Linked DNA regions of Anolis sagrei. The protein of the gene in region 1 purifies or fractionates together with the protein of each later gene. This does not show direct contact. Links are inferred from orthologs where the notes say so. Each region holds a gene or a part of one and is shown in the gene's direction. Other genes may lie near its edges. The genes, in order: PRKAR2A, PRKACB and AKAP8.

Region 1 (10,795 bases):
ATCTAGTCAGACTAGGATCAGGAGAAAGGAGTCCAATTTCTATTCAAAATGAGAAAGCTCACTGGATAACTCAGCAAGAGTTTTTAAACAATATTTCAGCATAGTTGCAATGATAAAACATGAGGAAGCAATGTATACAGCCACTGGTTAACTGGAGGAAGAGTAGAATAATACAATAAGGAAACATTTCCTATTCACCTATATCAGGGGTCCTCAAACTAAGGACCGAGGGCTGGATACGGCCCTCCAAGGTCATTTATCCGGCCCTCACTCAGGGTCAACCTAAGTCTGAAACGACTTGAAAACACACAACAACAACAACAACCCTATCTCATCAGCCAAAAGCAGGCCCACGCTTCCCATTGAAATACTAATAAGTTTATATTTGTTAATATTGTTCTTCATTTTAATTATTGTATTGTTTTAAAGTGTTTTTTGAACTACAAATAAGATATGTGCAGAGTACATAAGAATTCGTTCATGTTTTTTTCAAATTATAATCTGGCCCTTCAACAGTTTCAGGGACGTTTGAGGACCCCTGACCTACATCATCAATTTAGAGCAGGGGTCCTCAAACTTTTTAAACAGAGGGCCAGGTCACAGTCCCTCAAAGCCGGATTATAATTTGAAAAAAAATGAATGAATTCCTATGCACACTGCACATATCTTATTTGTAGTGCAAAAAACACCTAAAACAATACAATAATTAAAATGAAGAACAATTTTAACAAATATAAACTTATTAGTATTTCAATGGGAAGTGTGGGCCTGCTTTTGGCTGATGAGATACGATTGTTGTTGTGTGCTTTCAAGTCATTTCAGACTTAGGTTGACCTTGAGTGAGGGCTGGGTAAATGACCTTGGAGGGCCGTATCTGGCCCTTGGGCCTTAGTTTGAGGACTCCTGCTCTAAAACATTCTGTTTCTACTGACTTCTAAACTGTACTGTGTTCCTTCTGATGCAAGCATACAGACTTCTAAAAATGGAGTCTTGAGTCTGAACAATCCCAGATCTAATCATGTGGTCTGCAGCCCCTCCCATAACAAAGAGTTAAGGAAAACTGCATACCAACACACCTATACAGTACAGTAAGCAATCTGAATTATATACATAACAAATAACTATTATAGGAGGCATGTAGAAGGTCGCTATTTCCAACAATATGCGTACCATTAGTATCCTCTAAACCTGAGCTTTAAAAACGTTTTATGTTGGTGGCACACCTTTTAAGGTAAAGGTAAAGGTAATGGTTTCCCCCTGACATTAGGTCCAGTCATGTCCGACTCTCGGAGTTGGTGCTCATCTCAATTTCTAAGCTGAAGAGCCGGTGTTGTCCATAAACACCTCCAAGATCATGTTGCTGGCATGACTGCCTGGAGTGCCGTTACCTTCCTACCAGAGTGGTACCTATTGATCTACTCATACCATTCAGGCACATGCAATTTCGCAACACAGTAATTCAGGTAGACTAGCAAAATGGAGGTTCAACCAACCCCTTATAAGAGATACATACATGAATTGTAATAACGAAATCTATGGGGATACGTGTGCTGTCGCACGCTGGGCCTGTGCATATGACTGTAGACAGGACATAAATTCTGTGTGCCCAACGGGACGTCGGGGACGCCTCAGATTAAAGGCCCTTGGACCTCCCCAAAACAAAGTTCTGTAGAGGCTTAAAGTAAGTCCAACAAAGTTCTTTATTGATGAAAACAAACAGGTACATTCAAGCTTTCTTAACAGTCTATTGGCTCTTGCAATCTTGTTCACTGGGAACAGGCACTATCTTCATAACTGTATACTAACTAATGGGGAAATCCTTAACTTCTAATCTGGGCAGTTTGTACTTGCCTCTGTTGGTGTGGAGCCCCTGCACCCGGTACCAACTGCGTCTGGCTTCTGCGAGCAACCCTTACCAAGCAGAGCTTTGTAGACTTCCAGGGGGAAAGGATTCAGGCTTCCGTGATGGCTGACTGAAGTCCCCCAGCGAAGGAGCTGCAAGGCTGTATAACTCCAGTCAGGCTGTAGGCTGTATATCTCCCCGGCCAAGCCGTAGAAGACGAAGCTTTCTACAGGAGCTCTTGGTATTATGTCCTGCATGGAAAGCTGCTCTGTGTGGACTGAACTCAAAAAGGCTCCTATTCCCTCCAAAACTCAAAAAGGGGCGGGACCAGGGAACCTAACGATAATTGACAGGTGGTTTGCCCTATGATTGCAAACGATAACAGGAAGCCACCCTGCTGCAAAATCCCAAGCCTGGGATTGCAAACAAACATTTAATGCAAAGCAAACAGAATTGGAGCTCCTGGTACAACTGTACCAGCACACAACGTATCTCATGAAAACATTTCATTATATTTAGTTATATTTATTTATGGCTTATTTCACATAACTCAAATGTTTGTGTGACACATCTACTCACTGCAACAAATACACGAATGTGTCATGACAAACAGTTCGAAAATCTTTCCTCTGAGTGCTGAATTGGGTTTTTATTATTAAGAACTGATTATAAATATAATTATTTATACATCATTTATTTATTTATTTATTTCATCTCAGGCACAAAGATCCTAAATGACACACAACCTTTTAAAAAAAGACCCAATTTAAAAACTTGCAGAATATAAATGTTCAAATAGATTTAAATATACAGATATATATTTTGCACCCACTCTGGTTGCTTGGTTCAAGATGAATACCAGGCATCCATCAATACACAATAGTTGAGTCCTAGTCTGGAAGGGAAAAAACAGAATACAAAGAAGAGTGATTTGGGATGAATTCTTATGAATACTATGCTTTCAAGTCACTTGTCGGCTTAAAGCGACTCCATGAATTTCAAAGGGTTTTCTGAGACCTAATGATTAAAAACCAGAAGTGTGCCAATGTGTCATCCTCATGTCAAATGCTACACTGAAAATATAGGCAATTCTCCTCTTGTGAGATAAAATTTCAGATTTTAAAGCTGTGAAATAAATCTGGAAAATTAGGAGCTTCCGAAAGGTCCAAATTTGCAGGGAAAAGCTCCTCCAGCTTGCACATTACAGGCAAATGCCATTAATTTGACAAAGGGTCTGCTCTTTGGTCTGTTTCTTGGAAAAGTTCTTTTAAGCTTAATCACATATTCAGAAATGCTATACAGTAGATTATCAGTTAATTAATTTATTTATTTACAACATTTATATGCCACCCTTCTCACCCCGAAGGGAACTTAGGGTGACTTATAAGATATATACATACACACACACACACACACACACACTCACTATATTATTAGCATAGTACAATATCAGTATTAAATATTACTATATTGTACTATACCATATACTATATTGTACTATGGTGACGGCCGACAGGGAGCTCTGGTGTGGGCTGGTCCATGAGGTCACGAAGAGTCGGAGACGACTGAACGAATGAACAACAACAACTATACCATTATATTGTAGTATTATTAGTAATATGACATGTAATATAAATATATAATTGGAGCCCCTGGTGGCGCAGAGCCCCTGGTGGCTTCAGTCCCTGTGCCGGCAAGACTGAAGACCGACAGGTCGCAGGTTTGAATCCGGGGAGAGCACGGATGAGCTCCCTCTATCAGCTCCAGCTCCTCATGCGGGGACATGGGAGAAGCCTCCTTCTAGGATGGTAAAATAATCAAAACATTCGGGCATCCTCTTAGCAACGTTCTTGCAGACGGCCAATTCTCTCACACCAGAAGCGACTTGCAGTTTCTCAAGTCGCTCCTGACCCGACAAATATATATATATATATATACACACACACACACAAAGAAAATTATAATATATTATTAGTATTAGTTTTATAATGCATTACATTATATTATAAATATTATATGTATATAAAATATATTATATTATAAGAATAGTTAACCTGAACTCAAGCAAGGAATCAAAGAAATACTAATAATAATGTGTTGCCAAAGGCTTTCATGGCTGGAATCACTGGTTGCTGTGAGTTTTTCGAGCAGTATGGTTATAGAATCACGGGATTTGTAGTTTTGTGAGGCACCAGCACTCTTTGAGAGACAAGGCTAAACACCTTGTAAAACCACTCCAATACAATAGCATTGATTGAGCCATGAGTTAGTTGTCAAACCTTCCACGCATGCGCACTACGCACTTGGCCTCCTAGTCCTTTTGTCTGGTGACGCATTCTTTCCCCTGCTCACCATTTCACACCTCCCTCGAGGCCCCGCCCACAACTTCTGCATAGCCCCGCTCACAGACACACCTCTAATCCTCCGCCCCCTCTCCGCGGGTTCCTTCTGCACATGCGCAGAACATTTCTGCCTCTCTGTGGCGCTCACGCCTCCTTTTGTCCCGTGACGCACAATCCTTCAGTCCTCCCTAGCCCCGCCCACCACTGTATATCTTCGCGGCTTCCTCTTGCACATGCGCAACACAAGCACACTCGCTGTCTATAGCGTTCACGCCTTAGTCCTTTCTCAGCGTGCTCGCTTCTCCCCTTCGAAGCCACGCCTCCAATTAATTCATAGCCCCGCCCACTACACAGCTTTTTTTTTGTCCTGTCAGGAGCGACTTGAGAAACTGCAAGTCGCTTCTGGTGTGAGAGAATTGGCAGTCTGCAAGTCTGATTTGATGTTTTATCATCCTTGTGGGAGGCTTCTCTCATGTCCCCGCATGAGGAGCTGGAGCTGATAGAGGGAGAAGCTCATTTCGCCTCTCCCTGGATTCGAACCTGCGACCTGTCGGTCTTCATTTCTGTCGGCACAGGGGTTTAACCCACTGCGCCACTGGGGGCTACACAGCTTACTGGACCTTTTGCGCGGCTACCTCCTGCACATGCGCACTGCAAGCATACTCTCCGTCTATAGCGCTCACGCCTCCTTTTGCAGCTTGACGCGCCTCTCCATGTCTAGGCCACGCCTCCTCCTCTCTAGCCCCGCCCACCACACGCCTCTCCAGACCGTCTCCGCGGCTTCTTCCTACGCATGCGCACCGCAAGCACACCCGTCACATAGCGCTCACGCCTCCTTTTACAGCTTGAGGAACCTCTCCATTTCTAGGCCACGCCCACTCCTCCTCCCTAGCCCCGCCCACCAAGCGCAGCGCCGACTTTTTCCTGCGCATGCGCACCGCATGTAGCCCTCATGCCTTAGTGTCCTTTTGCTTCTCCCCATAGGAGGCCACGCCCCCTATTCCTCTTGTAGCCCCGCCCATCTCACACACCTCCTCCCTGCCTGGGCGCGCGCCGCGGCTTCCTGCTGGGCATGCGCAGACCTTGCTCGCTGTTGCGCGCCCGCGCTTGGCCCCTCCCCCGCTCCGTCCCTTTCTCTCCGTCGCGCGCGTGCCGGCTCCCGTAACGGCTCAGTCTGAGGAGGGAAGGGCAGAGAGAAGCAGCGGGCGCGGAGCCTCCCTTCGACGGCGCCAAGATGAGCATCGAAATTCCGCCGGGGTTGACGGAGCTGCTGCAGGGCTACACGGTGGAGGTGCTGAGGCACCGGCCGCCGGACCTGCTGGGCTTCGCCGCGGACTACTTCTGCCGCCTGAGGGACAGCCGAGACCAGCAGCTGAGGGAAGCGGCGGCGGCAGCGGCCTCCGCCCGGGGCAAAGGCGTCCTCTTCGACGGGGAGCCCATGCAGACAGAGTCCAACGGCGAGGAAGAGCGCAGGGAAGCCGAAGACTCGGACTCGGACTTTGAGCGTGAGTCAGGGAAGAGGAGGAGGAGGAGGAGGGCGGCCTAGGGCGCTCAGAATAGAAAATAGCCCCGCTTGCTTGCTTCCTTGCTTGCTTGCCTCCCTCCCCTCCTCGCGGCTATTTCATGGCGCACTCTTTATTATTATTATTATTGGTGTTATCCTCATCATCATTCTCATTATTGCGTCTTGCCTCAGGCGGGCGAGGGAGGGAGGGAGGGAGGCGGGAGAGAGGCAGCCTTTCTCAAGTCCCTTGTTGGACCAAACGGGTCGCCTCGGAAATGTGCCTCTGGAAAGCCACGAGAACTCGGTTGCCTTCTCTAGACCGGTGGCTTTCAAAGAAAAAAGGCCTGCACGTTTGTGGGCTTGGGGGAGACTTCTTCAGAGCTCCACGGTGGAAGAAAGGTGATGTTTGTATGTGTGTGTAGAGAGAGGGAAGTGTGTATCTCTCTAAAACTATATGTATAGGGAGAGGTGTATGTGTCTCTGTATATATATATATAGAGAGGGGGGGGGAGTGTACTTATATAAAGAGAGGTGTATGCATATATATATATATAGAGAGAGACAGAGGTGTATGCGTATATATATATAGAGAGAGAGAGAGGTGTATGGATGTATTTATATAGAGAGAGAGGTGTATGCGTATATATAGAGAGAGATAGAAGTGTATGAATGTATCAATATAGAAAGAGGTGTATGTGTATATATAGAGAGAGAGGTATATGGTTGTATTCATATATAGAGAGAGGTGTATGCATGTATATATTTATAGAGAGAGGTGTATGGATGTATTAATATGTAGAGAGCTGTATGTGTATATATATATAGAGAGAGAGAGAGAGAGGTGTATGGATCTATTAATATGTAGAGAGATGTATGTGTGTATATATATATATATAGAGAGAGAGAGAGAGGTGTAAGTGTATATATATAGAGAGAGAGAGGGAGAGAGAGGGAGGTGCATGAATGTGTATATATATAGAGAGAGAGGTGTATGAATGTATTTATGTAAAGAGGTATGTATGGAGATGTGTGTGTATATATACACACACACACGCACATATATATAGAGAGAGGTGTGTGTTTATATATCTGTGTGTGTATATGTATATATATATATATATATATATATATATTTATAGAGAGAGAGAGAGAGAGGTGTCTATATAGAGAGACCTATAGAGGTGTATAGCACCAGATCATATATTTTGACAAATAGATTTACGTGAAGCTTAAAAAGTGGGTCGGTGAGGATGTGTCAATTTATATATAGAGAGAATAGTGTGTGTGATTATATAGAGAAAGAAGAAGCTGTATATGTATATATAGAGGTGTCTGTTTATACATATATATATATAGAGAGAGAGAGAGAGAGAGAGAGAAGAGGTATGTGTAAGAATATATATCAATCGAGAGAGGTGATTATAAAGGAAATAGTATGTATAGATAGAAAGTGCGAGGGAGGTATGTGTATGACTATAAAATAGAGGGGTGTGTACATGTGTAATATATATATATATATATATATGGGTGTATACACACACATATACATATGGGGAGAGAGAAGGTATGTGTACGAATGTATATAAATAGAGATGTGTATATGTGTATATATAGAGGTTTGTATATATGTTTAGAGAGGGCTGTGTGTGTATATGTGTGTGTGTGTATACATATATGGTGGAAAGAGGGTGTATATGCACATTATATGTGCTGACTAAGTAATGTTGAGGAATGACTGCAAGATCTCTAGACGGTTGTGTGAGTGGTTTCTTTGCGCAGGGAATAGGAGGTGTGACCTTGTCTGTATGATGAGAAAAAGCGCAGTGAATATGGATGCTTTGTGTGTGCGTGTGTGTCCCCTTTATTTCTCCAGCCAGCTAACAAGCTTTATTTTTTTGACTCACCATTCTGTCCAAGGAAATAATGCCTTCCCTGTTCCATAGTCCTTTCATTATGTGTCCTATGTGGATTTTATTTCCACACCCACGTGCATGCTCTTTCTCTGTCTGTCACTTATTTTTTGTGGAGTGGGGAATCTTAACCTCAGTGCTGCAGTAATGTACATAACAATCCCTATGTGTGGTATGGGTCCTGCATGTTGTATAGTTGTCCTAATCCCTGTTGGATGGGTGTGTATATAATAGATTTCTCTCATATGTAGTAGAGAAGACTCTCATTCCCCCAGGGTTTGCACTAATGTGGTTAGAATCTTTTTAGGGAGATTGGGGAGGTTGGAGAGGAACGCACAAGTAGCAGTTTCTTTGTAGAAAGGTTGAATAGTTAGGGAATCTCTTCACTTCCCCGGGTCGGAATCTATCTATCTATCTATCTATCTATCTATCTATCTTGTAAGCTGCTCTGAGTCCCCTTCGGGGTGAGAAGGGCGGCATATAAATGCCGTAAATAAATAAATAAATAAATTTTACTCTGGCTTGTAATAATGGAACTTCTTGCAAATTGTACTTCTGAGCATTTAGGAAAATGTATAACAGTGTGTTGGGTAGATTTTAAAGAAAGAGAACAATTGTGTTAATTTTTCCCATCTCTCTTGTCCTGTTAGAATATTCTGAAGGGGGGAGGGTTATGTATTTAAATCTCACTTTCCAAAGAGAAAGCATACAATTATCACTTAGATTGTCATCACCTCTCTGTATCCACAGATTCCATCACCCGTTGCCTAAAATATTAAAGTATATATTTCTGTATCAATCTATATAAAGGATCTTGAGCGTGTGTGGATTTTCCTATCTACAGGAGTGTGCTGGAATCTAATCCCAGCAGGTACCAATGGGATTATGTCTACAGTTCAACTGTAGACATAGAACTTAAAAATCGACTGAAAGCTCAGAGAATTTACTTTCTAGTTCTGTACTAGATAGGATGGAAGAGCCAATTTCAGGACAAAGTTTGGATTAGGCTTCAGGATATTCCCATGACCTCGTTATGTCAAAATTTAAAGCATACTTTTGATGATTATTCTTAAGAGTAAAGAAGGATATACAGTAGTTGGCAGCCAGGATTGTGGACCAGGAATTCTTGGAGAATACTGTTCACTTCCCATGTCTGTTGACAAACCTTGGATATGTTTGATTCATGGTATTCTTCATTTCAAATTATAATAAGACAAAAGAAAGTAATTTTTAGATAAATTGTTGACTGGTGATGGTTGAACTGATGAGGTTGTGTATGGCTTTGGTTCTTGATTTGGAAGTATAGAAGTATGAGTGAAGAGTTATGACTTTGTATAGTGGGGAGAAATGGAAATACTATTTAATTTATACCTACCCTTTCTCCAAACAGAATTGAAGGTAGCTTAAAGGAGAGAACAAGGTAGAGAAATTACTTGAAACTACCAGAATAAGAAAAATGGAATTCTGTGTTGTTGAACTATTGACTACAAGTAGTAGGATATAATCAGTTTTCAAACTGAAGAAATGAAATGATACAGGGTTTATTCCCTGGTGTGATTGGTACAGTGCTGCATGTTTAAAATGCACATTAATTAAACTCAGAGGAAAAACATCACGATCTTACAGAATTATAATGAGTATTGAATGAACTATCCTTTACATTTTTCATTAGGGGACGTTTTTCCTTTAAGAGATTCAGTAGAATCTGTACAAGATGAGAGGATTTGGCAGGAATTGTGCTTTGTGTTGTTATGTAGTACAGGTTGTGCTTTTATTCCCCATACACTTTCTGTAATCTTTTAATAAAAAGATACTGATAGAATTTGACAGATAAACATGACAGTAATATTCCCTAGGACTGACAAAAGTAGCCACTAATTTTCACTTCTGGTGAATGGAAATGTAATAAGCGGATACCTATTTGGCAAAGTAAAATGCAGAGGCTAGACATATTTCCAAACTGGCTTCCAGATTTGTGTACAGACAACATGACTGTGATGCAACTACTACGTATGTATGTCTGTGTACCTTCAAGTTGCTTGTAAACCCATGATGATCCTATAAATTTCATAGGGTTTTCTTAAGCAAGGAGCACTTTGAGGTAGCTTTGGGAGTTAATGCCTCTGAAATGGACTCTAAAATACTAGGGTTGAATGACCAGGGCTGAATGACCCTACTTAGCTTCCATTATCAGATGGCACCTATGTAACTGGTTTTCAATAGCATTTAATTGCCTTTCTCCAGTGTTTTAGAAAAAGTAAATGGAAATCCACAAAAACCATGCTAAAAATGTCATGTTGTCATAGAATCATAGGGTTGGAAGAGGCCACAAGAATCACCTAGCCTCTACTTAAAAACCTCAGAAGGGGGAGACTCCATCATACTCTGAGGCAGAATACTCCACAGTTGAACATCAGGAAGTTGTTCCTAATGTTTAAGTAGATTTTTTTCTTGCAGTTTGAATCCATTGCTCCATATCATATTCATCAGAGCAGCATAAGACAAGTTTTCCCCCTCTTCAATGTGACATCCTTTCAAATATTTAAACATGACAACCTACTTTTCTCCAATCAAAACATATCCAGTCATTCCCCATAGGACTTGCATTTCCAAACCTTTGATCATTTTATTTGTCCTTCTGTGGACACATTTTAGCTTGTCAATATCTTTGAATTGTAGTCCCTAGAACTGGACACAGTTTTCCTTCTCCTTTGTTTTCATCATGAGAGTATGGAGTGTTGTACCCTTATGTTATTGCTTGCATTTTGCAAGATGTTGGTTGACAAAGCACTTCTCCATCTCATCCCTGTGTTGTGGAGCTAGCTTAGCTCCTTCCACAACTTCTGTTCCTGTAAACTGCCAGGATGGAGTGAAATGTAGATTGAGTGGCTGTGGTTGGAAGATTTGTCCTTTTTTCACTTTGTACACATATGATTGCATCCCGTCCACCATGGCAATATCATGGTGGATGGGATGCAATCATATGTGTACAAAGTTTAAAAAGGAGAAATCTTCCAACCCCAGCCACTCAATCTACAAAATTCGCAGAAGATACAGCTGTGGTGGGGCTTATCTCTGAAGGGGATGAGTCTGCCTATCAGGATGAGGTGGATCAGCTGCTCTTGTGGTGCAGGGACAATAATCTGGTTATTAACATCAGTGAGACCAAGAAGCTCATAGTGAATTATAGGAAGGA
Region 2 (11,303 bases), on another chromosome or scaffold:
ATTGATCAGACTAGGTAGAAAGTCAATTATATATGTTAATGGGATAGAAACACATTTAGACAAGGATAGTTTTATTCAGGTAAGCTATATAGATATAGGTTTAGTGTTAGCCTGTTAGTTTCATTGGAAGGTGTTTCATCAATACTGATTCCATGGAAAAGGATTTAGCTTTTAAAATCTAATGTATGTGTAAGGTAGTGTAATATTAAAGTGTGGTAGGTATATATGTTTTACAATAGGCAATAGATATTTACGAATATATATATAAGTATAAAAATGTGAGACTTTGATACCACATCCATAGATGATACTAGAATTCCATAGGTTAAAGGTTTGTATATATGTATAGTTGAAATGTACCTAACTATGATGCGTTTCCCTTTCAGAATTGATGTATATGTATATATTGTTAAATAATATGTGAGATTATTTTTGCTATTCTAGGATTAAGAAATATACAAAAATAATATTTCTGGGGAGGAAGGTGTAGAGATGTGTTCATTATAAAGTGTTATTTATAATGTGTTTAAACTGTATTTATAATGTTTATTATAGAGTGTTTAATGTACTGTGTTTAAACTGCATTTATGTATTACATTTATTGCCATGGCCTAGCTGTGAGGGATAGGTTGCCATGGTGACAAGACAAGGCAGAAGAGGAGGTGGGCGGAGCTTAAGGAGAAAAAGGTTGGAGTGTGGCAGTTAAGCTCTAGTCCGGTGGAGGAGACCCGGAGAAGAGCAGAGCCAGTTAAGGGCTCTGGGAAATAGCAGAGTCAAGAAAGGACTCTGGGGAAAATAGTTTAGTCCGGTGAAAGAGACCCAGTTAGGGCTCTGTTGTGAAGCTGTGAGAATTCAGTAGTTCCTAGAATTTGTGAATATTTCTTCAGCAAGAGAGCTGAAGGTGTTACCTTGTTAGATTGCTTAGGTTAAAGAATCTAACAGAGGGGGTTTTAAGGATCGCCAGTAAGGAAAGACTGGTGATCAGTGGTTTGTTCCGAGTATAGGGCAAACAGTGTGGACATTCACAATAGGGAACTCTGGAATAGTATAAGCACTTCACTAAAGAAGGAGTTTGTAGATTTGTAACATTCAGAAGCCTGAAAGTATCTCAAACCAGCCATTTTGTAACATCAAGCCTTGTGCCAAGTTCAAACTCTCAAAACTGCAACAATTACGTTCTGTTAACAATAAAACTTGTTCTCTTTTTATTTCAAACCTGCCTCCTCCATTGCTGTTATGCTTGGTGCATTCCACACTACCAAAATCACCTCACAACCCAACTAAAGATAAACAGAGACATAAACCAGCGTCTCTAAACATATTGGTGGCAGCTTAATAGATATTTAAAAGAAGGTTCCTCACAGAATATTGGTGGCATTAAAGAAGATTGATGCTTCCTCACATAATTTTTGGTGGCATCTAGTGAGATTAGCGCTGCTTCTTTACATTTTTGTTGACAAGCGGTGGGATTAACGCTTCGTTACATTTTTGGTTGACAAGCGGTGGGATTAACGCTTCGTTACAGTATAAATTTTACGTAATATTTTAAACACTATAATAAAAAGAAACACTATGGGTTAGGGGTACGTAAGGTGAAGGTATTGTTGGGTTCTGGGGAGGAAGGGAAATGGAAATATAGGGGGAAACAAGGAAAGAAAGGAAAAGGGTAGATGCAGGGAAAAGGGGATGGGAGTGGAGAGTCTATTGACTTCCGATCTTCTTCGTAGTGGTTATATTTATTCTCAGTCTCCCCCCCCCCCCCCCCCAATTTGCTTCTCCTTTTTATTCCATCCTTTCCAGGAAAATTCCTGTCAAACATTAGATTGTTTTATATTTTCAAACTTTTTTTCTCTTGAGTCATATAATCTTTAAACAATTGCTAATCCATTCTTTGCTTTGGACTTCCTTGGTATTTTGACAATAATTGCATCAATTTATCCATATTCATAATTTCCATCACTTTTATTAGTCAATGTTGTACTGAGGGTATTTCTTTTATTCTCCAACAACTTGCGTAGACTATTCTTGCTGCTGCTGTTAAATTGTTGAATAGTCCATCCTTGTTTTCATCTATATTTATGTCCATTATTCCTGGTGAAATATATTCTAATTTCATTTCTATTTTTATATTTAGGATTTTTTGAGATGTTTCTTGAATCTCTTTCCAATATTTTTTTGCTTTGCTACACATCCACCACATGTGGTAGAAAGTGCTCTCTTGAGTTTCACTTTTCCAACATTTATTTTGCATGTTTTTGTACATTTTCCCCAATTTTTATGGAGTTATGGACCATTTCGTTTTAATTATGTTAATATTCAGTATTGTTTTAAGATTTTTTTTAACTATATGGATTTAGTGTGTCTTTTTTGCAAGTTGCCTTGAGTCCCCGCCTAGGGGAAACACAGGATATAACTAAAAGGATGGATGGATATTTAATCAGTTGATACTGCTGGAATCCTAGATGCACTGATGCACCCGAAACTTTGGGAAACCTAAAAACTGGTTAATATGGTAGTAGTAGATCTCTTTAGGGGATTTTATTCAATATTATGGTGCAGCTACATCTGCACATAGCTGAAAGATCTTGCACTTGTTAAAAGTTTTTGCTGGGACTGGATATGGTTAAATGTTTGCACTGACCTTTGTTTGACTGCTGCTTTTCTATATACATTGAGCCTTTTGCTGAAGTTTCTGTGTTAATTGCACTGTGACTCATACTGTATTTTTCATTTTTTATCATGAAAAAAAAACACCCCAGTTTCCATTCCTTGAACATAACGTTCCTTTCATGGAAAAAAGCTTTCCTGCTTCTTCCTTCTCTCACACCCCCTGAAAATGTCTCTCTTTGAGGATTGAAGGACTCTCTGGTATCCCTTACTATGCCTTCCAATTCTGTATCCAATTTTGGATCCCAGCCCAAGTGCCTAGTACATTGTATTTTTTAAAAAATTCTTTCCTCTAGCACAAATTACTTTTGAGGATAACTTTGTATACTGAATAGGATAACTTTGTATACTGCATTTTTACCTTTTGAACAGCAGATGCCAGCAGATATCTTCTGAATTTAAAATAGAAATGTGGCCAGCGCTGCCATAGCAACAACTTCCTCTGGGCGTTGTTATTTATAGAAACATTGCTGCCTCATCTTTACATTGCTCTCTTGCTAAAGAAAGACTTCCTCAATGGCTTTAAAAAGCTCTGTTGGCGAGATACAGGGTATGGTTAGTCCTGAATTGATTTTAGCATTCTTTTGCATTAATTGTGTTTTTAATGTTTTATTTGATTTTAGTAATAAGCAGGGATTGAAAGAGCTACTTTAGACACTCCTAAGACCTTAAGGAGCATACACACTTTAAAAAAACTTTGTTTTTTTTCTTTAAACAGCAGTTGTCCCTCTCCACTTCATCTAACAACATTTCTAAAACACACAATCATCTAAAAACATTCTACAAAATACACATATAAAATATATTTCTACAAAATACGTATTAAAATATACAGAACAAAGATTAAACATAACATGCAAGCTTAAAAATTATGAATTAAACTGGTTGGGTCAGCCTGCTGGAAGAGAGGTCTTCAAGTGTATTTTAAATTGTGACAGCTAATCTCTCTGTCAGAGCTGTTCTGGCAGGTTGTTCCACAGTTGTGGGGTGGCCGATGAAAGGATCCTCTGGGTGATGGTCGCCAGTCAGGTTCTGGCAGGCTGAGTAGCCGCCCCTTAGAGGACCTGAGTGTTTAGGGTGGATTGTACGGAAGAAGGCGATCCTTTAGGTAATCTGGGCTTTAAAGATTAAAAACAACCCTTTGTACTTTGCCTGGAAACTAATTGGCAGTCAGTGGAGTGACTTTAGGATAGGTATAATATGCTCACTCCTGGATGTTCCTGGCTGCTGTATTGTGAACTAATTGGAGTTTCCGAATTTGGTACAAGGGTAGTCCAATGTAAAGCGCATTGCAGAAGTCCAACCTTGAGGTTACCGGCGCATACACTACCATCTTTAGGTCCTCCAAATCTAGGAAGGGGTGCAGCTGGAGGATCAGACAAAGTTGATAGTACTCCTGATATTTGAAGACACTGATTCAGAAGCACTCTCAAGCTGCGGGCAGAGTCTTTCAAGGGGAGTGTAACCCCATCCAGAACTGGTTAACATACCCCCACCCCAGATTAAGGTCCTTGATTGCAAACACCTCTGTTTTGTCTAGATTCAGTTTCAATTGTGTTTTCCTCATCCAGCCCATTACCTCCTCCAGGCATTCATTAGGCGATATCTGTTTAGTGTTCTCTGCTGATAACTATGCTAGGTATTTGCACTATTGACCATTTGTTGTTGTTGTTGCTGTTGTTGTGCGCCATGATGTTGTGTCTAATCTATGTTGTTTCCAACTTATGGTGGGGTTTTCTTGGCAAGATTTATTCAGAGGGGATTTGTTTTGCCTCCTTCTGAGACTGAGAGTGTGTGACTTGCCCAAGATCACCAGTGGGATTCCATGGCTGAGCAGGAATACAAACACTTGTCTCCAGAGTTGTACTCTAATGTGCAATTACTACACCATGCTGGTTCTAAATCCATGCAAAATTACAAGATTAGAACAAATTTACTTACAGTGCAATCTTGTACATGTCTGCTCAGATATCATCTTCACTGTGTATGCCCAGTGAAATTATGCAGTTTTGAGTACATAGAAAGCTCCTAAAATTCTTTCAGTAACTTATATAAAATTCTACTATTTGTTCAATATTTATCACATCTGAAAAGATGAATACATGTATTCTGTAAGTTGAAATATGAATATGTGCTATAGTAAAGAGAGAGTTGCAAACTATGGTACTTTATCTTGATTGTTGCTATATGAGAAATAGGAGGAAATAGAAACCACATATTATGTAATGAAATAAAGTGAATTATTTGGAGAGAAACAGGCTCATACATTAACACTTTTTGAAATGGACTTGTAATATGCTGAAAGTCATAAGCTCTTCAGAAGTGTATACAGTTAGCTCTCTGTGTCTACAGGTTCTGTATCCGTAGGTTCTTCATCCATAGATTTAATCGCCCATGGATTAAAAACATTACTATACCATTGTATGTAGTGGAATTTGAGAACCCCCAATTTTTGGTATCCATATGGGGTTTGGAACCAAACCCAGTGGATACCAAGTGTCCATTGTATCATCACAAATATGGGCTTCTCAGATCTGAATGATGTACATGGAGGAGTCTAAAGATTATTTTACATAAAATCTTCATACTATACAGTTTGTAGCCTTTTGAGTAAGTTGACATAAAAGCATTCCATTCATTCCCCAGATTGTTCAAAATATATTTCTCCTTCTTACACTATATGTAGCAGAAGCCCATTGTATGATTTAATATGGATAATAACTTTTTCCAAAAGTTAAAATTCAACACAAACTCTTTTAGGTATATAATATCCGTTTATGCATATAGATGTCTGCATAATCAGTTTTCTAGTGCCCTTTTTGAATTTAACAAGTGTGTTTGTTCTCAACATCATGTGGCTTGTTTGGGAAAGAGGGAAAGCACGCAAACAAGTCATGTTGCCCCCCCCCCCCCCCGTCACCACACTGAGCTGATATCGAGAGCCTGAGAATAGCTCTTGAAGTTGGTTTTATATTAACAGGAAGCAGAACAACAGTTGTGGCTAACGCACTGCATACAGGAAGTCTGACACATGCACAGCACTTGGCTTTGAAGTTGAATTCTTAAGTTTGGAGTTATTTCTTTCTTTTAACACACAAACTAAATGTGTATAGATGGCTGCTCAGAAGGAGTTACAGGGCAACCCAAGCACAGGGACTGCAAATGCTTTGCAGAGACTGGAAGGATTTGCCAACAGGCTTTTTCACAGGCACTCCAAGGGTTCCTCCAACGAACTGAAAGCAGCTCAGGAAAATGAGTCTCCGCACTTCTCTGAACTCGCTGCACTGTGGGAGAGATCAAGTAAGTGTGTGGAGGTTACTTGGTTTGTAATGGCAAGTTTTAAACTGTGGCATACTAAATATAGAAAAATGTTGACAGCCAAACTGGCCTGTTAAATGATCAGCAGGTGGATCCAAGTCTGTAGTTCTGTTTCTTGAAACACTTGCTGGTGGTGGAGTAAAATTAATGATCAGACTTCCTTTTGTCAATTTATTCTTTTACATGATTTTACCTTGACGTTTAAATGCACATTTCTTTCAAGTTGTCTTTCTAAAGCAATACGATCCTGGCCTTTCATTGTTCACTTACCTTATATTATAACTTTCAGAGGAGGGAGCATGATCTAACAAATGGACATTCAGTCCAACAAGGATGGCAAATGTACTGAAGCAGGTCACATAGAAATCACTTTTTCCATTTAGGGCCCCAAATGGGCAATACTGGTACAGTGTGGAAAATGGGGTAACCAGGGTTGTAGCCAGTAAATTTCCTCTTGTTCTATACAGCCAGCCAATCTACCTTTAATTTTTTAGAAGACCTTAGTTATATTTTCTGCTATTACACTTTAAAAAATCTATAGATTGAACCAAGTCTCTTAATGACATCTGACTGGTTTGGATATTTGTTTTCCTTTTACATTCGCTGATATTTTAAAACCACAACTGCTTCATAATAACACATTAAAATATAAGTAAAAGCAGGATTTGGCAGCATGTAGTTCAAATTAATTAGTTATTTGTAACTCAGCCCCCTTCCACACAGCTCAATAAAATCTCACATTTTCTGCTTTGAACTGGAATATATGGCAGTGTAGACTCAGATAACCCAGTTCAAAGCAGATCTTGTGGGATTTTCTGCCTTGATATTCTGTCTGTGTGGAAGGGTCCCAAGTTTCCGATTATAGTAACAGAATTATAGCTAAACTACACTTGCAACTTACTAGCATCACTCCTTTTGCAGCATTACTTTATAGTCAAAAGATTGTATCTACTAAATGGCCAGATAGTTTCAACGCTGGGTCATGTTGTACTTTTGCAGCTACCTTTTGTTGTATTACGGCTCTTAAGAAAGCAAGAAGCTCCCAGGGAAAATGGTGTTTTGCACTACAGACCAGAGGTTTTAAATATTTGTGTGTTTGTATTTTTAAAGTATTTTCTGCTGTTGTTTTTGAAAATTCAAAAAGTACAATGAATACTTTTTGTCTTTTAATCATATAATTGTTACTAATTACGTTGAAATTATAAAGACTACTCTTAAAAAAGTAGTTTTCCAAGCTAACTAAAATGCATTAACTTTCCAAAACAAAGTGCTGCTGTTTACCAGATTATTTTGTTCTAAATTTAGTTTGCTACAATTACTATATCATTCCTCAAAGGAGTACAATGTCACTTTAGCTTTACTCTAATCATGAGATATAAATTAGCTTGAGAGAGGGAGAGAAAGAGTGAAAGGCAGTGAAAGCTCTTCACAGAAGTGGTTCTTAATGTAATATTTTATATTCAAATTTTAAACCACAGTGTCACGGAAAGTACTTTATACAATATTGATAATCCAGCCTCACATAGCAGTTTGAACATTGAACAGGGCTATAGGAAGACCTGGGTCTGAATTCCCAATTGGCCATGTAAGGAAGTCCATGTAAACCATCCCTGAACAAACTTCACCAAGAAAACCCCCTTGATAGGGTCACCACAAGTCAGAAATGCCTTGAAGGCATACAGCAACATTATTGACTATAATATTGACAATACGCAACCATAATATTTTCATTACAGATTTGAGAATGTAAACACTTACACCTATTTATTTATAGATGTAGGTATATTGATACCTTTCATTTTTTTGCTTTAATTTTATATACCAAAATAAAGAAGATTCTGCTTTGGTCAAACTCTGTTACAGAGAATTGAGAGTTTGTTTGGTTTTCGTTCTGGGTTTGGAACAACTTAGTCAGCCTTCCTTATCGATGGATTCAGTATCCATGGATTCAACCAACTGTGGCTCAAAAATATTCCTAAAAATAATAAAATTTCCAAAAGCAAACCCCAATTTTGCCATTTTACAATGCCACTGTACATAATAAGAAATGAACATCTATAAATATTGGTGTCCATGTGGAGTCCTGGAACCAAACCTCTGCCCAATATGTTTACATTTACATTAAAATTAGTTATGAACAATAAGGGTAATGCTTTTACATATACACATTTGTCAATGTTATTTTAAAATAACCAATTGATTATATAGTAGACTTGCAGTTATCCAACATCCATGGGGATGGTCAATGCCAGATAAGCATAGTTTCTGGTTGCTTGAGAATTACTAATAAAGGTAGGTTTAACTAATACTATACTCAATGCCATACCCTACCATAAACTCTATATTGACTTGGTAATAGGTTGGGGCATTTGGGGGTCTGAAAATGAAAAGCTGTTTCTTTCGGCGATGCAGAAGATTGGGCCATGTTAATCTTACCTTATTAGCTGCATACCAACACAACAGCATTGGAATTTTGGAATTTATTGCCATTTCTGGAGATTTTACATGCTTCCTTCTTTTCTCCATTGCTTTGTCAGAAATTGATGTTCGTGAGAAATAGCTTAACAAGAAAATTACAGATGTTTTCCTGGGAGAAATCCCGGTGTATATATATCCACCAAAATAATGTAAAAATGGGTAAAAATCACAATCTTCTAAATTTTTCAGGACAAAATTTAAAAATCACAAAGGAGAAGGCTGGGCTCTTGTGTCTAATTTAATGTATTTGCCACTGAAATATTTCTGTTTATCTGGGGCTGCCAGGATTAAATGATGTCAATGTTGTGGCCTGTTGTTTTTTTAGAGGAAAATGGGCACTCAAAATGAAAAAAAAAGCATTCGAGGAAAGCATTTCACAGATATTTTGGATTCTTGCAGGGGTTTTTTTTTTTTTTAACTTCTGCCTAGAACTCCAACAGACTGGGTAAAACGTGCTTATGTTCAAGATTAGTGCCCTTGATGGCTCCTGCCAGGAATATAAACATGCAGGTATGGAGTGAGAGAAGGAAAGTGAGAGAGTTGCCACTAGTTTCAGAGCTAGCCTTTTAAGGATTATGAATGTGAACAAGATTGTGAGCTTTTGAGCTAATTGAAGTTCATTTTATGTTTAAATGGTGGAGAGACCTTCCCTATTTTAAGCCATGCTGTCTGACTTGTTCGACAAGGAAACAGGTAGTGAATAAACACAGAGGATATGATCTTTTGAATTGCATTTCTAACTAACAGTGTGCACTGTGATTACCCATAGATTAGCCAAAGAATGTAATTTATAGATAGAGTTCAGCTGGAATGTAAACAGACAGTAATGAGCATGCCTTTGAAATGTGTTTTTATAAGGGCTTAATACATTTTACTGTTTTCTGCAGCTCTGCAATGCTGTTTCAACTTTAAAATTTGCTACTGTGGAGTTCAATATAAATAGAATTCTTTCTTGTTTCTGATGGGAAATATGTGTACATTCAAAACTCATTTATCGGTTTTGTTTTCCCAAACTGGGATGAAGATAGAAGTAGAATTGTGTACATGCTTCCACAGTTGTGAAAGTAATTTCATCTGCTACTAAGAGCCACATACCAGAATCTGCATCATTTTAACGAAATTGTGCCAACTAAGTCTAGGCTTTACAAATTTCACCATTAAGAACTTAATATTTAGACAATTGCCAGTCATTAAAAGTCCACAGGTGGACAGAGAACACATACTTTTCTGGGAAACGTAAAATATGCACTGGATAATATAATAAGAATCCTGTAACCACGGAACTAATATCTATGGTTTCACTTACCTGCAAAAAAACCCCAGTATCTCTAGGAATTTGATTACCCTACTGTGCACTTTTATCGTATGCTTCTCTTGGAAGTTACCATAATGTCGTGATGGATTGGGGACCTAGCAAATTGGTAGACAGGGTACTTTTCTAGAAATCTCTAGGTCCTCCAGTGCAACTCTGTGGTGTGCTAAGCTCAGAAGTCAGGTAACCTAATGGTGTTTGATCACATCTGCAGTTTCAGGTAAACAAGGTCTGTCTGAAAATGTATCTCCAGCAGTATTTCAGGGGTGGCAATTGTGGAATGAGCTTGATGCTGTATCTTAACAAATCAATGCTGATAGTTTTGAATGGTTCTTCCCCAAATAAATGTTTTAGGTGTATTGTTAAATCATAATGTTAAGGGATAAACAAACTCAAATTCTCTAATGATGATTTTTTTTCTGATATATTGTCCACAAGTCCAATCAAAAAGGCTACTTCTAGGGCTTTGTTTATCATTTGGAATTTGGATTTAAAGCTGGGTTGTGAGTGCTCTTATACCTCACTGAGAATTTGCTAGTTGAAACACTGTGTATTACTCCAGGAGAGTGTCCCATTGAGTTATATGAGATTTACTTTCTATTCCCCTGTAGGCTTTACAATTGTGTGTAGCATATACAACAGGCATGGGCAAACCAGCTGCTAGGCTGTTAGGAATTGTGGGAATTGAAGTCCAAGACACTGTGAGAGCTGAAGTTTGCCCATGCCTGATATACAAGCTGTGAAGAGTACATTTTTGGAGTTTGGTATGCATTATAGCACAGGACATCTTGAAAAGAAAATACTAAAGTCATATCTTTTTTGAGAAGAGAAAGAAAGGGGTCTATTTTCAGCTGGTTTGGCAGAAAATACATTGCAGAATCCTATGCTGAATTGACATATCCTTTTTGCAAAACATCTTGTGCTTCAGTTAATAGTACTCTCAAAGGGGAAGCTTTTTCTATGTGGGTTGTTAGTTTCTTGTGGTTTAGTAATGCAGCAGAAGGATTGGAGCAAATTCTCTCTCTTCTCTAAGTTGATTTCCTTATAATACATTTTACTTGTTCTGAAACAGGCTGACAATTTGACATTTGGAAAGTACTATTACCTCCATTTGTTCTGTTTTTAGTTTGAAGGATTTCTAAGAGTTACACAGGCTGCTCTTTGCAGGTTGTGGTTTACAATCTGAACTGTTTATGGTGGCATATTAATACTGAAATGATAGCAAGGATTATTATTTAGTTTCCAAGTTTGAAAAAAGTAGCTGTTTTACACAGCATACTTGAATTAACAGAACCCTAGTAAAACCCTTGTTACATTTATGCATATCACAGAGACATTATGTTTCAGTATTAATAGACCTAGGCAAACCATGTTTAATCATACTCATTGCTGTTATCATGTGTTCCTGAATAACATATGATTGAAGAAGGTGTTCGGTTCCCTCCCAATAGCCGTTCGTTAGCTTATGCCATGTTTTTGTTTGAGTTCATAATCAGAGTTAAGGTACGAAATGATACAGGATCAGGTC
Region 3 (10,908 bases), about 99 Mb from region 1:
ACAATGATAGTTGTTTAAGTTGCAGTATATTTTTTAAAAGTCAGTAATCATATGCATTTTCCAGTGAAAAGTTAGACTAAAAATCAAGAAATGTCAATTGAGAACATATGCTATTAATGCATGTTCCTACCAAAACAAAAATGACAGGAATTGTATAGTTCCTAAAAAATATCAGTCTCTTCTGATGGTATCTCAATCATTATTATTGCCATTGGTTACGTTTATGGAAACTGGAATTCAACAAAACACGTAAGAGCTTTGATTCACCATTTCTGGCTTAAACCAAGGCAGAAAATTGTCTGAGTACAGTATTCTCAATATTATATAACAGGGATGGTAAAATGCAGTCACACCACAAGTTGGCAACACCTAGAAAAATGAAATTATATAGAATCACACTCCAGGAAGCACGTCTCTCCCTCAAAATTCAACACTGGGTTCAAAAAGAGTTTTAATAATGTTTCTGTAATGGAAAGAAACTTCTGAACAGGAAGAGTGTCTATGGTTTGTGATGTGTCTGGGCAGGTGGTGGAAAATTGCTCCTTGGACCTTCCAAAGTTGCCCACATTGTTGCACTGTTGTTTTCATGTGCTTGTTCCATTACATCATTTCATTTTTTTATCCAGCTCTCTATTAGTATTAGTGCACACTTCTTTCCACAGTTGGCAAAAATAAATATTGGTAAATAAAAATAAATGAACAGTGAGTTCTACATGGCTCTGTTTTTGTTTTCAGGGTGAGAATCCTTTTACAGATGACCCTGAAGAAAAAGAGGAGCATGAGGAAAGTGAGGCAAGAACAAGTGGGGTCATGGAGGAAGGAGCTGCTGAAGGTGAAGAAAACAAGACAGAAGAGGAAGCTAAAGGCGGTGACAGTCTGACTGAGGAAAATCCAGCAGAAGAAGGCAATGCAGAAAATAAAGATGGTGAAGGTGAAGGAGGAGAACCGTCAGGACAAATGGAAGAGTCGAACTTGAAAACATCCCAGGAAGCCCTTGCAAAGGAGCAAGAGCATGATGATGATAATGAGGAAGAAGAAGAAGAGGAAGAAAGAAGAGGAATCATTCCATCAGAAGAGATGGAACCACCTGATGAATGAACTTGTGAAGAAAATAAAAGCATTTTGAGACTCTGCATTAAAAATTTTAAAACCATAACTGTATTTGTGACACTTCATGGCACGCAGCTTTTGGTTCCCATTAACTACATTTCACCTAGTTACAGCACTTGAAAGCCTTTATCTATAAAGTGTTTTTGGAGATAGCTTTTTTAACCAAATCTTCATTGTATTAGATAGACTTTGTGCAGTACAATTTTTAAGTGGCTTTGTACTAGGATAAATACTTTTTTTTTTTTTTAGTAAATAATCAAAACCAAATTCTGTTTATTCGCCTGTACCATATTACAACCTGGGAAGATAAACATCCTCTGGGCCTCTCTTTAATTCTGTATATAGTTGAAAATGGTTTTGTTCCCTAGGTAGCCTTGTCTGGAAATGTCAGTAGCAGAGTTCTGAGTTTTAAATTTCTTGCAATTCAAGTAACTTCCATGGAACTGTAGCATTCATTTGTCCTTTTTCTTTTAATATACAACTCTTAATACTTTGGAGATCAGCACAATAGTTTTGCAGTGCTTTTATTTAAGGTGAATATTTCCAAGGAGTGGAGATAAAGCACTATACTACCTATATGTGTGGATTTCTGAAAGAAGCAGCATGTAATAGATGTTCAGGAAGTCTGAGAGAGGGGGAAATGTATCCTGGCACCTTCTTAAAAAGCAGTTTGGTATTACTTCTTTTGAGTTTTGTCCAGACAATGTTTAAAGGACATCATTGACACTACTTGGCTTAGATTGCTGTTGTGTAAAGGAAGGCTACAGTAGGCCATATGGAACCTATCAATGAAGAGTGTTAAAGAAACATTAAATATTCCCTTCAATGCAGTGCTTCACAGTTGTCTCATTGTAAAACCTTCCACAGTTCATTCTTGAACAGTGCGATACTGCTTCACTGTGCTACGGGGAGGAAACTGGCAATAATGCCATAGATTTCTTTTAATTTCACCAACCTCTGTAAAACTGCTCACAAAGGAATAGTCGTACAACTGTCACTGCTTCATTCATTCTCAATGTATTATCCTGTGCTTTTGTGTGTATGTGTGTGTACATGCATTTTTCTTGCAGTAGAAATCAACCGGAAGAATATCATGGACATGTTTTTATGCTCAACTGCTACATCAGACAAGGCAGTGATAAATGAAGGAACTGTTGTAAGTGGGGCAAAAGATTTGGTACCACCAAGCACTCTGCTGCCTTCAGCTCTAGATCACTGCTTCTTAAACTGTGGGTCCTGACCCCAAATGGAATCATCTTAGCTCCACGTTGGGGATCCCATAAAATTGGTTACAGTAAAAAAATATATTCATTTACACAAACCTATTGTGCAATGTTTGCCGTGGATGCCACAAAAATGTTTCAGGTGCACTTCATTAAAAGGAAAATCAACCCTTGCAGATGCTGATTTATTATCAGTAAATGTTTGTTTTTTTATACCTGTTTTGCATATCTATATACCTGGGATCACGTAAAAATTCTTGGATCAAAAGGGGTTGTGAGTGAAAAAGGTTTAAGAAGCCTTGTTCTAGAGCTACTATATGCCAGTGAAAGACATATGGAAGAAGATATTGTGAGTCAAATGTGAAATGTACTGGCATCTACAGGAATAGAAATATTGAAGAATAAAGCTTTTCCTTCAAAATGTGTAACTACTGGAGTAGCCCTGACCTATCCTGAAATGTGAGATGTTTTTGAAAATAAATTGCAAATACAAAATTACCAGTAACAAGCATCTTGAAAAATGCTTACTGTTTAAGAAAAGAACATTTGGTAGGCTTTTGTGTAGGTTGTGTAGGTTCTGTTGCAATGACTAACAATGACAGAGGTTGCTAGGACCAAAGTCAAGGTAGGCAGCCTCTGTTCTCCAGTCTGATGGCCTGCAACTTCCATCATGAAGCCTAATCCTGCATATTTTTTTTGAAAGACAACGCAATATTAAGGTACAACTTTATTGAGATTTTTGAGTAATAGATAACTCATTACATTTTTAGTAAACATGCACAGGATGAGGCTATTTGTTTCTCTACAAGAATGAGATGAAACTTTTCTGCATTATATAGTAACATCAGGTACGTACATTTATTTCTCAATGTACTTAACAAATATATGACTTAGTTTAGTGCTGAATTTTTCAACTGATACCCTGGGGACTTCAAAAGTTCTTACTTATTGGGTGATTGGGGGGGGGGGGGGACGACAATTTTTGCTAAGGAATCATAACATTTCTTCTGGTGCTGCAGCGGGTTAAACTGCTGAGCTGCTGAATTTGCTGACCAAAAGGTTGGTGGTTCGAATCCGGGTAACAGAGTGTGCTCCCGCTATTAGCCCCAGCTTCTGCCCACCTAGCAGTTAGAAAACATGCAAATGTGAGTAGATCAATAGGTACCGCTCCAGTAGGAAGGTAATGGCGCTCCATGGAGTCATGCCGGCCACATGACCTTGGATGTGTCTACGGACAATGTCAGCTCTTTGGCTTAGAAATGGAGATGAGCACCAACCCTCCGAGTCGGAAACGGCTAGACAAAGTTAGTTACAATACCTGCTAATAAAAATAATTTTGTTAATCAAAAACCACTCAAGATTCTAATCATGGGTCTCTTAATATTTTTAATTAGAGACTCCTATGCTATTATATTGGGCCTTCCACATTTACAGAGGTTAGGGGGATAGGATCCCCTTAAAGGTGGAAAAAACATTAATTTAAAAACATCATTTTTCCTCTGAGCAAAAAAATCTAGGAACCCATTGGTTATCTAGTATGACTCTATGATCAACTTCCATCAGATTCCTAGAGAGACTATTTTAATTAAATCTGCAAAAGTCAAACTTGGGAATGTGGATGGCCAATTGCACTTAATTTAAGGCTAATAGATAGAAGACTGAGTGAGTTGTGTTAAAATAATTGATTTTACTAAAGGCCCAGGATATTGCAAACATTTCTGCTACTCAGATTTTTTGGGTACAGATGTATGAGCAGAAGAAAGGATATCTCTGTGGAAGAGGGAATAAATATAACAGCAATTCTGGATCTACAATAATTTCTCAAGAGGAAGTTTTTTTTGGAACAGGATGTCTGAGAGAAAGGTCTTCTACCTAGCTCTGATTAAAATGGTATTACTGTAATGATGATAAATCCAATGTAGATATGCCCATCATAATGCAAGTCACTCATCACATTCTGGTTTCGGTTTTCATTCTTACATATTAAATGGGGGAAGGTGGAACTGTCCCTTCAGAATACAGGCTGGGAACTAAATCCTAGGAGCAACCAGACTAAGATTTATGGCATTAAGATCTATGGCATAACATCACATCCGTCTGTTATGAATAAGAGTCATTTCCCTGTCTAAAGCATAGAGCTCTGTTTACTCACAACAGAGAAAGCTATTGTAAAAATTTGACAGATTTAGCTTCTATCACTGCAACAACTCTTTAGTGTTGTTCATGATAAGCAGATAATGTACATGCCTCTGTTTCTTATGCTTCGGATATTGTACAGATTAGTTTCCTGCTTAAATGTTATTAACTGTATTGCTGTATCAGAATGTTAATTTTGTACGTCGCCTTTTAAACTCATTGTCATTTGTCATGAGTTAGTTCTCTGTCTATATAAAATGAGGCTGGATCAAGATGTGATTGCCTGGCAGTGATTCAGAAAAACCTAGGGAATTTGTTATAATTTGAGCTTTCATGTGACTCAAAATTTATAAAGTTTCCATTAGTTTGAAAAGCAGTCATTGATTTTACTGAGCAGTAGTGTCGTATTAATTCATTGCTTGCTAAACTGCACAAAAAAGCTGTATTTGACTATAACACATCTAATAGGAATTAGGTTCCATGAAAAACGTATGAACACACTTCCAACTATATAGGATGTCTGAGTTCAACTTTGTGTATAAGTACTTTAATTTGGGGACAACCAGCTTCTGCATCCTTGTACTTTAGTTTAGTCCTCTCTCTCTTTCAACTATAATCTGTCCACGAGAAATGAACATGGTTTATAAAGGATCTCTAGACTGCTCCCTCATGCAGTCTCTATCCCTGCCTTATGTTATCCCAGTCTTATCTTTGTAGGGAAGGGCTGCAGTTTCTATACAGATGCAACTAACCATCCTCTGCCTGGGAGGGCAAACTGTACCCTGGGGCTGCATGCAGTTCCTAATGGTTTCAGCGAAGACTTTTACCATTGCTTTTTCCTATGTCAGTTACTCTGCATTTGGAAACGCTTGTTCAAAAAGCCACGTCTTGACTTTTTTCCGGAATGTTAAAAGGGAAGTGGCCAATCTAATATCTATAGGGAGGATGTTCCACAGCTGAGGGGCCACTACCGAGAAGGCCCTGTCTCGTCTCCACCAAACATACTTCTGAAGAAGGCGGTAATGAGAACAGGGCCTCCTCAGATGATCTTAAGGTCCTAGATGGCTCATAAGGGGAGATGTGTTCGGACATGTAAGTTGGGCCAGAACAGATAGAATTACCAGTCCTGTGCCCCTTGGGAGTAATTTCAGTAACAGAAGGGGCTGTTTTGAGAGAGTGGGCGCACAGGTTTGGCAATATTCTGGTTATTATGAATTGTTAAAAGGCAGAAACCAACTCTGGACCCTTCCAGACAGGCCCTATATCCCAGGATCTGATCCCAGGTTTTCTGCTTTAAACTGGATTATATGAGTCCCCACTGCCAGTTAATCTGGGATAAATAGAAATCTGGGATCAGATCCTGGGATATAGGGCCTGTCTGGAAGGGCCCTCTGAATGCTGTTTCGTTCCGTCATTAGGATTTTGATTCCTTTTTACTTTCAGTTTCACTCTCTTGGTTTAAGGCCCACTGGTGTTGAGAGAGGCGCCTCTTGACAGCTGGCCTTGTGGGAGGGGGAAGCAACAAGCAATGTGGGAGGGGGAAGTCACTCGTGGGATCCTCATTGGGTGGGACTCTGACATTCCGGCCAATCGAAATCCACCGGCCCCTCCTGCAGTAGCCAATCCCCGCCGGCCTGTGGCGCTCGCGCCGTCAGGGTACAGGTTAGGTCTTCGCTGTGGCAGGCCGGCGGCGCGGAAGCCATGGAGCAGGGCGGCTACGGTGAGTGGGGCCCGGTCGGGCAGGAGGGACAAGCCTGGGGTCAGGAAGCCCTGCGCCTCCGGGAAGCGTCCCCCACAGTTGTGCGCCCAGCCTGGGCCTCGCCGCATTCCCCGTTGGCCGTTAAGCAGCGAGCGGCGTTGATTGGGCCCCGAGGTTGTCTCTCACCAAGTCTCGCTTTGTGACTGGAGAGCTGCTTGGCGCGCGGATTGTGGTCTGCGAGGGAGGCGGGGCCTGAGGTCTGTGAGCGAAAGCGGCACAAAATGGCGCGGAGGCGGATTATTCTCTGCGTCAGGGCGCTTTTTCTGTAGGTTGGCTTTGAGAACCGGGTCCTGGGTCTTGTCTCTTTTGGCCAGTTCCTCAAACCTCCCCTTCGAGCGAAATGTTAACTGCAAGGTCGCCAGCGTCATTTTTGTGACAGGCATCTGGCCTAAACTCCCCAAAGGCACCAGATCTTGTCTGGTCTTGGAAACTAAGCGGCCCTAGTTAGTACAGGTCATTTTCCCGAAATATCTGGGATCAGGTTTGCAACTACACACAGTAGAACTAATGCAACTTGATACCACTGGCTGTCGCAGCTCAATGTATGGTAGTTGTAGTTTCACGAATGAATGGATGAAGCTTTATTTATATCCCGCCCCATCTCCCAAAAGGAACTCGGGGCGACTCATAACAAAACAATAACATCAGTGCATTGTCGAAGGCTGGGATCACTGGGTTGTTGTAGGTTTTTTGTGGGCTATATGCCATGTTCTACAGGCATTATCTCCTGACGTTTCGCCTGCATCTATGGCAAGCATCCTCATAGGTAGTGAGGTCTCATTACCTCTGAGGATGGAGCCCCCGGTGGCGCAGTGGGTTAAACCCATGTGCTGGCAGGACTGAAGACCAACAGGTCACAGGTTCGAATCTGGGGAGAGCACGGGTGAGCTCCCTCTATCAGCTCCAGCTTACCATACAGGGACATCCAGGTGTCCCCTGGGCAACGTCCTTGCAGACTGCCAAAAAAAACCCCCAAGAACCTCTGAGGATGCTTGACATAGATGCAGGCGAAACGTCAGGAGAGAATGCCTCTAGAACATGGCCTATAGCCCGAAAAAAATCTACAACAACCCAATAACATCAATAATAATAATAAAGCACATAACAAGTAAAACAATTTAAATAACCAAAAACAAAACAAGGCATAATAAATAAGATGGAGCATAACTCAAGAATGTCACAACCCTTTAGCTTTCTCTGCCAAAGGGTGCTAATGCCGCACCAAACTACAATTCCCATGATTCCGTAGCACTGAGCCATGGCAGTTCAAGTGTTGTCAAGGTGCATTCATTCTGCAGCATAGGTGTGCCCCAGAAGTGTTTGGGATTCAGATTTAAAATATTTATATTTGCATACATGTACCTAATGAAATATCTTAGAGGTGAGAAACAAAAGTAAATACTAAATCCATGTATATTTCATACACACCTTACATAACAACCTGAAGTTAATATTATACACAACCGTTTTAACAATTCTGTATATGAAACAGTATTTGTAATTGAACTATTAGTAGGCAAAGATGTCACTACTTCAGCCACCATATGTGCAGGTTTAGAATATGTTAGAATTCCAGATAAGGATTGCTTCATTATATTTGGATAGGAGTCTGCCAACACATACCAGATGCTGTAGGCTGTCTTTCGGAGGAAAGAACTGGCAAAACCACCTTTGAGTATTCCTTGCCTAAGAAAACCCTATAAAATTCAAGGGGTTGCCATGGGTTACTAACATGCCAATCCCTATGGCAAATAAAGTGTTCCTTGGCATGCAAATGATAACAGTCTGGGGGCATTTGCATGTTGAACTGTTGTATTATTATTATTATTATTATTATTATTATTATTATTAACTTTATTTGTACCCCGCTAGCATCTCCCGAAGGACTCGATGCGGCTTACACAGGCCGAAGCCTCAAAACACAATACAATAGAGAACATAACACAACAATAGCAAAGCAAATCAAAACAATAAGCAAAATAACGACAATGGCAGTACATCAAGACATTATTAAAAACTGGTTCGGCCGGCGCACTGGGGTACAAGGGGTAAAAGTGCTGAAATGGCAGGAGGCACGTAGGATAAAAGTGCGGTGTGCAGCGACGATTAGTTATGCTAAGGTGCTACTAGGACTTGGGGTGGGGATATATGTCATTGGGCAACTCATTGGGCAACTCTACAACTTGTGGTGTGGGATATACCAGCAAGGGAGAATTTGACAGTAATATCTCTTCTCAGCAAGTTCACACCCACCAACATTTCACAGAAGAAAACCGGGATAGGTGTGGCCAAGCAACATTAGAGTTGGTTAAAATTACTGTTCAGAAGAATTCCCCTCCGTTTCTGTCCCTGTGAAAATTGGGCTTATTGTGGAAACAAGGATTAGTGATAAAGCTTTAGTGGAGACACCTTTCAATTCTTTCAGTTGTGAATTTCCCTTCCTATGGGTAGATTTCTCTCACTTCCTGTTATCTCACCCCCATTTTTCACTATCAGTTGATTGTAGGTTGGATGTTCGTAAGTCGAAGACTGCCTATAGTCACATTACACATCACACTTTCTATTTATTACCTTTAAATACAAAGTATGAATAGCAATTTTTACAGGTACATAAGTGATAAATTTTCATTTGGTAGAAGAATGAGGGGAAACCTTGAATGATTTTTTTTTTTTTTTTGGAAAATGTATTAATTACTCTACCCTTACTAAGACTTATTTTTAGAAATAAAGTAAGATGCATAGGATTGCGCTAATGAGTCACTCATGGGATAGTTGTAAAACAGAATTGTGTAAAATAATGTAGTTTCAACATTCAGAAGTTAGACATTCGAAACTGAATTTGTTTATAAGAGCCAGAAAATTTGGAATACCTTCCTCCAAAAAATGCCTTGAAAAAGTAGACGAGTTTTTTGCTGGTTTTTTTTTCAGTGGTTTCCTTGCAGTTGGGTTTTGTGAGTCTTGTTCTTTCTTTAGCCCCTCCAAACTTCAGTAGTGCATTCAGTAGCTTTGGCTATGTTGGGTCAGACTGTTTAGAGTTGTAAGCCAAAATATTTGGAAGGCATCGAGTTCGTTACTCTTTATTTAAATGGCTTAAAATATTATATGCTATAGGTTTAGTTACAGGGGCTGTAACGTAAAGGCCTTGTATTAAGAAAAGCAATAAAACAGTGATATAGAAGTCCCAAACAAAGTGAGCAGTGGAATTTTTACTTGTATGAATGACCCATTAAATATTTGCCTTACAGGTTATGGCTCCTGGGGTACTGATACCTCAAATACTCAAGGTATGTCATTGACCTTCATAGATAGAAAAAAGAAAAATAATGACTAATAGTGTTGACCATAAAAATGCCAATGTTAAACTCAATCACAAATAACATTTTTAGAAGAGTGAACTGATATTCATTCTTACCTTTTGAACTGTACTTGATTTCATTTTTTTTCTTTTGAACTCTTGGCCCTAAATCCAATCACTAGACCTTGGTAGACTCATTATACTGCCCAGCATATATTTTTTTGTATCAAATGTTAGGTATGTTTCTGGAAATACTTGATCTGCTGATTCCATAAATGGTAGCAGTTTCCCCCTTATCAGCTCAATATTTTGAGATACAAAACATGCCAGTCATCATCTACTTGCCTATGGAAAACCATGATAAATTATATCTAAGAAATTAGAGCTGTTGCAGTATATCCAGTGCAGTTTTCTGAATCCGTGCCCAAGACACCAAGAAAGTGTTTTTTATTGGGCTGTGTAAAAATATTCAACTTAATATCTAGTAGTTGAATCAGTGGGACAACTTGGTGGAACTGACAGTGGGATTTAGAGCTGTATTTATGCGCCCCCTGGTGGTGCAATGGGTTAAACCACTGAGGTGCTGAACTTGCTGACCAAAAGGTTGGCAGTTTGAATCTGGGGAGTGGGGTGAGCTCCTGCCGTTAGCCCCAGCTTCTGCCAACCTAGCAATTCAAAAACATGCAAATGTGAATAGATGAATAGGAACTGCTTCTGTAGAAAGGTAACAACTTTCCATGCAGTCACGCTGGCCACATGATCTAGGAGGTGTCTATGTACAATGCCGGCTTTTCAGCTTAGAAATGGAGATGAGCACCACACCCCAGTGTTGGGCACGACTAGATTTAATGTCAAGGGAAACCTTTACCTTTTCTATTTAATATCTGGACCTAAATACCTGCATGGAACCAGGTTCCATCTGCTTTTGGAAGCTAAGCAGCGTCAGCTCTAATTAGTACTTGAATGGGATACTACAGGGTGCGGCAGCATAACTTCCTTTTTTAAAATGTGCACCATTCAGTCGGTTGAAAACGTAGTGGAGCGTTAGTGGTCTCGTTCGAGAGGCTGGAGTATAAAGTTTTGTCTTGACACAGTTCAGTCGCCATCATGCATTGGAACAGTGAGGAGCGTGCTTTTGCCGTTGAAGCCTACTTTTCGAGCGGATGTTCTGTGATCGCAACCCAGCGTGCCTTTCGGAATCGCTTTAATTTAGCCCCATTGGCCCCTGTCCCGGACCGGAAATCAATTGTGACATGGGTCACTACATTCAGACAAACTGCAAATGCGACAAAATGAAGAACTGGAGTCCCTCGGCCCATTAGATCACCTGAGAACATTGAGGCAGTGAGAGCTTCAATGTTGCGATCACCATGGCGTTCTGCGCG

Evidence for each region.
Region 2: the proteins of PRKAR2A (region 1) and PRKACB purify together in Homo sapiens (affinity purification with mass spectrometry; 6 studies listed by BioGRID and IntAct, counting the BioPlex papers as one, with this or other methods). This does not show direct contact. The link is inferred for Anolis sagrei from reciprocal best matches to the Homo sapiens genes PRKAR2A and PRKACB.
Region 3: the proteins of PRKAR2A (region 1) and AKAP8 purify together in Homo sapiens (affinity purification with western blotting; 3 studies listed by BioGRID and IntAct, with this or other methods). This does not show direct contact. The link is inferred for Anolis sagrei from reciprocal best matches to the Homo sapiens genes PRKAR2A and AKAP8.

What each region holds. Positions count from the first base shown.
Region 1 is NC_090022.1:28,672,231-28,683,025, forward strand, and holds the start of PRKAR2A (cAMP-dependent protein kinase type II-alpha regulatory subunit), read left to right. Parts: upstream 1-5,282; 5' UTR 5,283-5,419; coding exon 5,420-5,690; intron 5,691-10,795. UniProt on the Homo sapiens protein: Regulatory subunit of the cAMP-dependent protein kinases involved in cAMP signaling in cells. Type II regulatory chains mediate membrane association by binding to anchoring proteins, including the MAP2 kinase.
Region 2 is NC_090024.1:155,445,361-155,456,663, reverse strand, and holds the start of PRKACB (cAMP-dependent protein kinase catalytic subunit beta), read left to right. Parts: upstream 1-5,765; 5' UTR 5,766-5,780; coding exon 5,781-5,967; intron 5,968-11,303. UniProt on the Homo sapiens protein: Mediates cAMP-dependent signaling triggered by receptor binding to GPCRs.
Region 3 is NC_090022.1:127,269,774-127,280,681, forward strand, and holds the start of AKAP8 (A-kinase anchor protein 8), read left to right. Parts: upstream 1-6,093; 5' UTR 6,094-6,170; coding exon 6,171-6,189; intron 6,190-9,473; coding exon 9,474-9,512; intron 9,513-10,908. Other genes in the region: AKAP8L (A-kinase anchor protein 8-like), read left to right, coding at 736-1,098. UniProt on the Homo sapiens protein: Anchoring protein that mediates the subcellular compartmentation of cAMP-dependent protein kinase (PKA type II).